2 linked regions of the Mus musculus genome follow. The protein of the gene in region 1 purifies or fractionates together with the protein of each later gene. This does not show direct contact. Links are inferred from orthologs where the notes say so. Each region holds a gene or a part of one and is shown in the gene's direction. Other genes may lie near its edges. The genes, in order: Psmb10 and Psmb4.

What was found.
Region 2: the proteins of Psmb10 (region 1) and Psmb4 fractionate together in Homo sapiens (co-fractionation; 4 studies listed by BioGRID and IntAct, with this or other methods). This does not show direct contact. The link is inferred for Mus musculus from reciprocal best matches to the Homo sapiens genes PSMB10 and PSMB4.

Annotation. Positions count from the first base shown.
Region 1 is NC_000074.6:105,935,335-105,939,928, reverse strand, and holds Psmb10 (proteasome subunit beta type-10), read left to right. Parts: upstream 1-1,536; 5' UTR 1,537-1,918; coding exon 1,919-1,974; intron 1,975-2,162; coding exon 2,163-2,250; intron 2,251-2,337; coding exon 2,338-2,435; intron 2,436-2,547; coding exon 2,548-2,688; intron 2,689-2,947; coding exon 2,948-3,063; intron 3,064-3,174; coding exon 3,175-3,233; intron 3,234-3,781; coding exon 3,782-3,933; intron 3,934-4,023; coding exon 4,024-4,135; 3' UTR 4,136-4,201; downstream 4,202-4,594. Other genes in the region: Lcat (phosphatidylcholine-sterol acyltransferase precursor), read left to right, coding at 1-357. UniProt on the Homo sapiens protein: The proteasome is a multicatalytic proteinase complex which is characterized by its ability to cleave peptides with Arg, Phe, Tyr, Leu, and Glu adjacent to the leaving group at neutral or slightly basic pH.
Region 2 is NC_000069.6:94,884,131-94,888,392, reverse strand, and holds Psmb4 (proteasome subunit beta type-4), read left to right. Parts: upstream 1-1,434; 5' UTR 1,435-1,484; coding exon 1,485-1,624; intron 1,625-1,745; coding exon 1,746-1,952; intron 1,953-2,171; coding exon 2,172-2,318; intron 2,319-2,651; coding exon 2,652-2,733; intron 2,734-3,359; coding exon 3,360-3,476; intron 3,477-3,633; coding exon 3,634-3,722; intron 3,723-3,952; coding exon 3,953-3,965; 3' UTR 3,966-4,069; downstream 4,070-4,262. UniProt on the Homo sapiens protein: Non-catalytic component of the 20S core proteasome complex involved in the proteolytic degradation of most intracellular proteins. This complex plays numerous essential roles within the cell by associating with different regulatory particles.

The DNA of each region.
Region 1 (4,594 bases):
TCTCGTGACCTACTGGAGCGCCTCCCCGCACCTGGTGTAGAAGTATATTGTCTCTACGGTGTGGGCAGACCCACACCCCACACCTACATCTATGACCACAACTTCCCCTACAAAGACCCCGTGGCTGCACTCTATGAAGATGGGGACGACACCGTAGCCACCCGCAGCACTGAGCTCTGTGGCCAGTGGCAGGGCCGCCAGTCGCAGCCCGTACATTTGCTGCCCATGAACGAGACAGATCACCTCAACATGGTCTTCAGCAATAAGACACTGGAGCATATCAATGCCATCCTACTGGGTGCCTACCGCACTCCTAAGTCGCCAGCTGCCAGCCCAAGTCCCCCACCCCCTGAATAAAGACCTAGCTGTTATAAATAAGTGCAGGGTGTTTGTTATGGGTTAAGGGGAAGGCACTACTAGGTTCCTTAGATAACCTGCATCACCTGGCTGATGCATGCTTGATCTGGGCTTAGGGGAACACGGGGTTCAGTGGGCTTTGCTAAGGCCCCAGACTGGACTGACTTTGAGATATGTAAATAGATTTTCATTGTCCTAGTTGAGCTGCTCAGGAAGCTTGCTCTGTGGCTTCCTTCTTAGGGGCCCAGGACAATATTCAGATCTGGGTATATGGCTGTTAGAATGGGGACACAGAGAAATAGGATTTGAAGTCGACTTTTGAGTTCTGGTTGGATACAGAAATTTATAATAAAGCATGGTGGTGCACGCCTTCAACTCAACACTTGGGAGGCAGAGGCAGGCAGATCTCTGTAGGCCACTCTGATACACACAGTTCCAGGACAGCCAAGACCACAGAGATTCTGTCCCCAAAACACAAACAAATAAATAGAATTTAAGATATTGGGGCTGGGGATTGTTAATGTAAGAACTTGGATTCCATGACAGCCGGAGCTATACAGAGAAAACCTGTCTCGAAAAAACAAACAAATAAATGGGGCTAGAGAGATGGCTCAGCGTCTGTTGAAAGAAGCTGTTTTTCCAGAGGACCCTGGTTCAATACCCAGCACCCACATGGCTGCTCACAAGTGTCTGTAACTCCAGTTTTAGGGGAGCTGACACCTCACACAGACATGCAGGCAAAACACCAACGCACATAAAATAAGCCATAAAAAAATTAAAAAATTAGGGCCACGTGGTGGTACACATGCCTTTAATCTTCTCATCCAGGCCAACCTTGTCTACAGAGCTTATTCCAGGGCAGACAGGGCTACACTCAACTACACTGAAAAACAGTTTTTCAAGCGCCCCCCCCCCCCAAAAAAAAAGTTTAGGATCTGAAGAAAAGACAGTTCATCTAAAGAAGATTTAATGTGAGACATTAGAGAGAGAGAGAGAGCAAGCACTCAGAAGTTAAGAGCATTTTTTTGCACTTGGAGAGGACCTGAGTTTGGTTCCCAACGCCCACGTGGTGGCACGCCCACATGGTGGCTCATGATCATCTGTAACTTCAGTTCCAGGGAATCTGATGCCCTCTTCTGACCTTGGTGGGCATGTGGCATGCACATACCACATTCACTCACACACATAACTAAGCCTGCAAGGGCTTCATTTCTACTTACTTTTAAGGGGTTATGTGTGTGAGTGTTTTACCTGAATACATGTATGTGCCTGCAGTGCTCAGGGGGTGTCAGCAGAGATGGGAATGGAGGATCTAAGGCGCACCATAGGTCTGGCAAGGAGTGTAATAGCCCCTTCCTCAAGTTATCTGGGACTAGCAGCAAAGACGAAAGTGAAAGAGAAGATGCACACAGCAGCCAACAGCCTCTGAACTAGGGTGGGGGTGAAAGCGAAAGTAGGAAGCGTCCGGAAAAACCCCACAGAAGCCAGGACAGACGCCTCTGCTCCCCCTGGCTGATCCACTCATCGAGACCCCCGCATTCTCACTTGGCCTTCCTGCGAGATGCTGAAGCAGGCAGTGGAACCCACAGGAGGCTTCTCTTTCGAGAACTGCCAGAGGTGAAAGGGGAGTGGAGTTCTAGTCACGAACTGCTGGTGCCTTGTTTTATTGGTGGAGTGGGGGAACCCTATGTTGGGTGACCAAGTAGGGGCTTAAGCCAGGAGATGAGTAGAAATGGGTTTGGGGACCGGTTCAGGGACCCTCCCTTGATGCAGAACTGAAACGCGAGTCACCCCAATGTTTCCAGGAATGCGTCCTTGGAACACGTCCTTCCGGGACTTCGGGTTCCTCATGCACGCAAGACCGGGACTACCATCGCGGGGCTTGTGTTCCGAGTAAGCGGGGTGATAAGGGCTGGAGGGCTAGAAGGGCAGCCACTGCGGAGATCAGGTGGGCATTAAGGCTGGGCTCTGCCTCTGCAGGATGGAGTCATCCTGGGAGCGGACACGCGGGCCACTAACGATTCGGTTGTGGCGGACAAAAGCTGCGAGAAGATCCACTTCATCGCCCCTAAAATCTAGTCAGTATGCCCCGGACCAGTCCCCATATTCAAACATAAGCTGCACTGTCGCTCACTCCCTACTTTGTCCCTGCACGTCCCTGTCCACATCCACCATCCCTTTGTCCCTTAGCTGCTGTGGGGCTGGAGTAGCTGCGGACACTGAGATGACTACGCGGATGGCAGCTTCCAAGATGGAACTACATGCGCTGTCCACCGGCCGTGAGCCTCGGGTGGCCACGGTCACCCGTATCCTGCGCCAGACGCTTTTCCGGTGAGCAAGTGGGGCTAAGATGACCCCTAAACGGGGTATCTGCAGGTGGGTGGAGTTGACAGGAGGCGGGACGTGGAGTGGGGGGGAGCGGGGCTGCGACCTGCAGGGAGACCGGAAGAAGACAGACCAAGCTGAGTTCCGGAAGAGGCAGCGTCAATTGCAGGACGCCAGGCCAAAGGAAGGGGTGGGACTCAGACCAAAAGGCAGTGTAATGGGCGGGGCCTGTCTGCTAACATTAACCCTGCCTGCTCCTCCACAGGTACCAAGGCCACGTGGGGGCATCACTGGTCGTGGGCGGGGTTGATTTGAACGGACCTCAGCTCTACGAGGTGCACCCACATGGTTCCTACAGCCGTCTGCCCTTTACTGCCCTTGGTGAGCTCTTCCACCCTTTAAATCACACGAATCCTGCTCCTGCAACCCCACCTTCAAGGTTTGTACCTCCGCAGCTAACAACTGACTTCGGATGCCCCTTCCCACCTGCAGGCTCTGGTCAGGGTGCAGCCGTGGCACTGTTGGAAGACCGGTTCCAGCCAAACATGACGGTGAGCGACTTCTTCATGCTCACTGGCGGGGAGTGCTGAAAAACCCTAGCCAAGTATAGAAATAAGAAAGGCTTGTAGGTGTGAAGGGGACAACTGAGTAGGGACTGAGTAAAGTTGAAGATGGGAGGGCCAGTCAGGAACCAAGCTTAGACCACAGAGAGAAGCAGAAGCTCACAACGGATCATTACTGAAGGAAGAGGTAAATGATGTTTGAGATTGGACTTGGGAGTGGGATAGAAGTAAGTGACTATGTGCTTCAGAGATAACTAAGGCCCAGAGAGAAACACGTGACAGACTGGGTGGGAAGACAACTTGGGGGGGGGTACATGTAAGCAACACTGAGAAGTTTGTACAGAGGACAGTGAGTGGAGGGCACACAGTTTTGGAGGAGAGGGGGTCAGAAGCCAAGGGACTGGAATTTTCAATGGATGGAGAGAAAGGAGGTTGAGCTTACATAAAGAGCAAATTGTCTAGACTTCAAGATTAACAAGTCCCCTGGTTAGAGTGTGGTAACACTAGGTCCATTTAACCTCATTTCCACTACCCAGCTGGAGGCTGCGCAAGAGCTGTTGGTGGAAGCCATCACAGCAGGGATCCTGAGTGACCTGGGCTCTGGGGGCAATGTGGATGCCTGTGTGATCACTGCAGGGGGTGCCAAGCTGCAGAGAGCATTGAGCACCCCCACCGAGCCTGTGCAGAGGTAAGAGCACAGGAAGGGAGGGCTCTGTGTGTGTTCACACGTGTGCATGGACAGGCTGCATTCTAAAAGGCTGGCCCTCCTCCCTTCTAGAGCTGGCCGTTACCGATTTGCTCCTGGAACCACACCTGTCCTGACCCGGGAAGTGAGACCCCTGACCCTGGAACTTCTTGAGGAAACTGTGCAGGCCATGGAGGTGGAATGAAGTGGCCTGAGATGTAGAGTTTGGAATGAGGGTGAATAAATCCGGGAAACACAAACACTTAAACAGAAGGCTGTGTCTTTCTTGAGAGGAGTGAGCCAAGCATCTGTAGGAGTTTTGTGGCTGAGGTATTCACCTAAGGACGACAGACCCAGTTCTTGGCCTGAGGTCCTCCTCCTCCTCACCTCAGGGATCTATCCGTGCAGAAGCCCAGGACTATAAGCTTTGGGGTAGAAAGCTATATCCTGTCATCCCCAAACCATAGTTCCATATGGTAGAAACTTACCCCACCAGTACCCTGTCTTGGAAGACCCCGATGGACAATCCCCACTGTTAGCCTTTCCCTTTCTTATCAGTAACCACCTTTTTCCACCAGCTACCCTGGGACCTTAGGAGGCTAAAATGCTGATAGAGCAACCACTTCCTGACAAGTTCCCACTAAGCACCTCTCACCACCTACAG
Region 2 (4,262 bases), on another chromosome or scaffold:
CAGAGGTCCTGAGTTCAATTCCCAGCAACCACATGGTGGCTCACAACCATCTGTAATGGGATCCGATGCCCTCTTCTGGTGTGTATGAAGACAGCTACAATGTACTCATATAATAAATAAATAAATCTTTTTTAAAAAAGGATTGTATACACTAGAGTCTCTGAAGGAAATACAAGAGAATATTAGGCAAAATTAATATTCAGACAAATAATGTCTGGATTATATAGGAAAGAGCCTCTGTGGGGAGGGGAATCCTGGCCCCTGGGCTGGAAAAGTTCAGAGTAAAGGGTGGGTTGTGCCAGGTAGGGACTGAGGGATGCTGGGAGAACCTGGAGGCTATGTCGACTTGAATATGTTAAATATGCACCTCAGCCAATTGTTCTGGGTCAGAACTTCAACATCAATATTCTCTCATATGTGGAATCTAGGTGTGTTTGTATGTGTGTATTAGGTCAGGAAAGTAGAAAGGTGCTCATAAGGAAAAGGCTCTTTAGGGACCCGGGTGAAGGATTAGAAGGTAATAGAACACGTGTCAGTGGAAGCACGAAGGGTCTTCTTAGACAGGGAGGAGGAAGCAGGAAGACAGGGAAGGCACTGAGATGGGCACCAGTGAGGGTAGAGTAAAACGACATCTAGGATGAAAAGGCTGTAATGAAACCTATTGTTTTGTATGCTATCTTGAGGGGGCAGGGGAATTCCTCCACTGCCTCTAGTTCACTGTGGATTCTTTTTTCTTTTAATACAAGATCTCTCAGTAGTTCAGGTTGTCCTGGACTCTGAGTGTAGTCCAGAATGGTCTTGTACTGGAGGCATTCCTTCTGTTCCAGCCTTCTGAATACTAAGATTTTTCTCTTTCTCCCTCTTCTCTCCCCCCCACCCCCCCTTGTTCACCACATAAGTGCCTGGTGCCCTCAGGGCTAGAAGAGGAGTTACAGGTGATTGTCAGCCACCCCGTGGGTGCTTAGATTCGAACCCCAGTGCTATAAACGTGGGCCATCTCTCCCCTTGGTTTGTATCTTTTCTACCTTTTATTGACTGTAACGGGGTAAACCACTGTATCTTATGCTTCGGCTTCTTATCTATCAAATAAGTTGATAATGCCTGCTCTATTGGCCGGCTCTGAGAAGTAAAACAGTAAGAGAGCTTGGGTCCAGTGATTCTTCAAGCCTTGTTTTTGATATTGATCCAAAAAGCACATGGTAACAGGTCCTGGTGCTTGTCCCACACGGCCTGCTCCTCCTGAATTGTCAGAATACTGGGATCTAGGCATCCCTACTGCAGTGGGATACGGGGATGCGGCCTTGTGCATTTCTGTCAGTCTTGGCGGCTACTCTGGACCAGGACTCCTCAAACGGCTTTATAAATACAGAGCCGGAGTCCTGACCCATGGAAGAGGCAGGCAGGAAGAAGAGAGGCGTGGCAAAGGACCACTTCCGTTTCCGGTGACGCTAGCGCTTTCATTTCTGTCGGCTGAGGTGACTAAGATGGAAGCGTTTTGGGAGTCACGGGCTGGCCACTGGGCCGGGGGTCCGGCTCCAGGGCAGTTTTACCGCATCCCGGCCACCCCCAGCGGCCTCATGGACCCGGCGTCGGCGCCCTGCGAGGGTCCCATCACTCGGACCCAGTGAGTCGCGCTCTCACCGCGCCGGGAATGGGCGGCGGGCCGGGATGCGGGGACCTCTGATGCGCGGGCGCCAGCAATCGGGGCTCCGGCCTCGCGCTCAGGGACCCTTTTCACGATTCAGGAACCCCATGGTGACCGGGACATCGGTACTCGGGGTGAAGTTCGACGGCGGAGTGGTGATTGCTGCAGACATGCTGGGCTCCTACGGCTCCCTGGCTCGTTTCCGCAATATCTCTCGTATTATGCGAGTCAACGACAGCACTATGCTGGGTGCCTCGGGAGACTACGCTGATTTCCAGTATTTGAAACAAGTTCTCGGCCAGATGGTGTAAGTCGCCTCCAAGTGGAGCGGACAGCCTTCCGTTTATTATTCCTGTAGGCGGGATGGAGGGACTTGAGACTTTGGGTAATTGTTGAGACATTTGTGAATGTTTGGAATACTTTTTGGTATTGGGGGGGGTGGTCTTGGATTGTAGAATTGTGTGTAGAACAGGGAGTGGGATGGGGAGCCTGACCTGTTATCATTGCTTTCTCAATTGTATTTAAGGATTGATGAAGAGCTGTTGGGAGATGGACACAGCTATAGCCCTAGAGCTATTCATTCATGGTTGACAAGAGCCATGTACAGCCGCCGCTCCAAGATGAATCCCCTGTGGAACACCATGGTCATTGGAGGCTATGCTGACGGAGAAAGGTATTTGATAACTTCCTTGACCGCCTAACCTAGCACCTATGTAGTGTCTCTTCAGTCTTTAAACAGAATGGTTCTTTACACTTCTTTTGGTATTTGTGCTTGTGTAGTACTGTGTGTGTGTTTGTGTGTGCATGCATCTTCTGCATTGTGGATTCTAGAGATCAAACTTGGGTCATCGGGCATGCTGGCAAGTGCCCTCACCACCGAGCTATCCTGCTTCCCCACCCTCAGGCACTTTGACCCCAGAGAATTTCCATCTTTTAATTCAGACCTAATGGACACAGCTAAGAAATGGAAGATTAGATCAGTTCTTTGATGTGTTTGTCCCTCTAGCTTCCTCGGTTATGTGGACATGCTTGGTGTAGCTTATGAAGCCCCTTCACTGGCCACTGGTTATGGTGCATACTTGGCTCAGGTAAGTAGTGGGCCTAGCGATGGGGAGAAGAGAAATAGAAATGAGAAGGCAATGTTAATCTCTTTCCCTTGGAATTTTGATAAGAGAGGCTGGAATCCTAACGTTGGGCAGCTGGTTTTCTTTGTCTAAGGAGAATACGTTTACATTAACTTCCAGTGACAAGAAACAGCCTTGGAATGGAAACAGTGGCAGCCCTAGGCTTCCCCACTTTTAAGAGAGTCTTAGCTGGGCATGGTGGCACATATCTGTAATATTAGTGCACAGGAGGCTGAGGCCAGGAGGACCATGCATAGCAAGACTGCATGTATGTAGGCTGCATAGCAAGACTATTTCAAACACAAAACAAAGACTCCTTGGGTTAAGTCACTTTCCAAGGCTGACAGGCAGCCTGGGGTCACCATGGTGGAGGAGACAACCAGCACCTAAGAGCTGTTTTCTCACTTCTGCGTGCATGTGCACATACCCATACAAAAGAATTCAATGTCAAACAAACAAAGCCAGCACCTAATTCTTTTGAAACAGTGGGTAGAAAACTCATCCACTTTGGTGCCTGTTTACATGGGTTAGAGTAGGTTGCCTTCTGTTAAGCCAGTCTAATTTCTCCAATGTTTTGCCCGCCTGTGTAGCCTCTGCTTCGAGAAGTTCTAGAGAAGCAGCCAGTGCTGAGTCAGACTGAGGCTCGGGAGCTTGTGGAGCGCTGCATGAGAGTGCTGTACTACAGAGATGCCCGTTCGTATAACCGGGTGAGAAATGGGCTGGAAGGTACAAATTCTGGAGCCAGGCATGGTGGCACATGCCTTTAATCCCAGTAGGGAAACAGGGGTGGGTGGGACTCTGCATTTGAGGCGAGCTTGGTTTACATAGTGAGACGCTATCATTGCACGCTTTGCCTTCTTTCAGTTTCAAATTGCCACTGTGACTGAAAAGGGTGTCGAGATAGAAGGACCGCTGTCCGCACAGACCAACTGGGACATCGCTCACATGATCAGGTGAGCAAGCTACAGTAGGGATCGGTGACACAGGGAAGCTCTTGACTTTTACAGAATGGCTCTTCTGGAGGGTTCAAGCAGAAACTCTGTGTGGGTGGTTTTGGAGGGAACCTCTCCAGGTTGGGGGCGGGGGAACTCTCCAGGTGGGTGGTCTTGGAAATGGGGAGCTCCTTCAGAAGTTGATGCCTTTATCCGCCTTCATTTTCCCTAAATGTTTCTTCTTTCTTTAGTGGCTTTGAATGAAATCCAGTTGAATGTCCAGAGTGTTGAAGCTTTGCTCTTCTAAACGTGACTGTAGCTGGCTCAAAGGCAGACTTTTGTAAAATAAATCAGTCGTTTGAAGTGTTCGCTGAGTTGGATTTTGTGTTTTGAAACAGGATTTATGTAGCCCAGGCTTGCCTGGAACGCAGAAATCTGCCTCCCAAAAGCTAGAGGTAAAAGCTTCTGGCATAGCTGGCAATTCAGTGTTTATTCTAACATGGTCACATTGAGACCTCAGCTACCAAGTACTGCTTTGTACCATGTCCGTGCTGTTTCCTT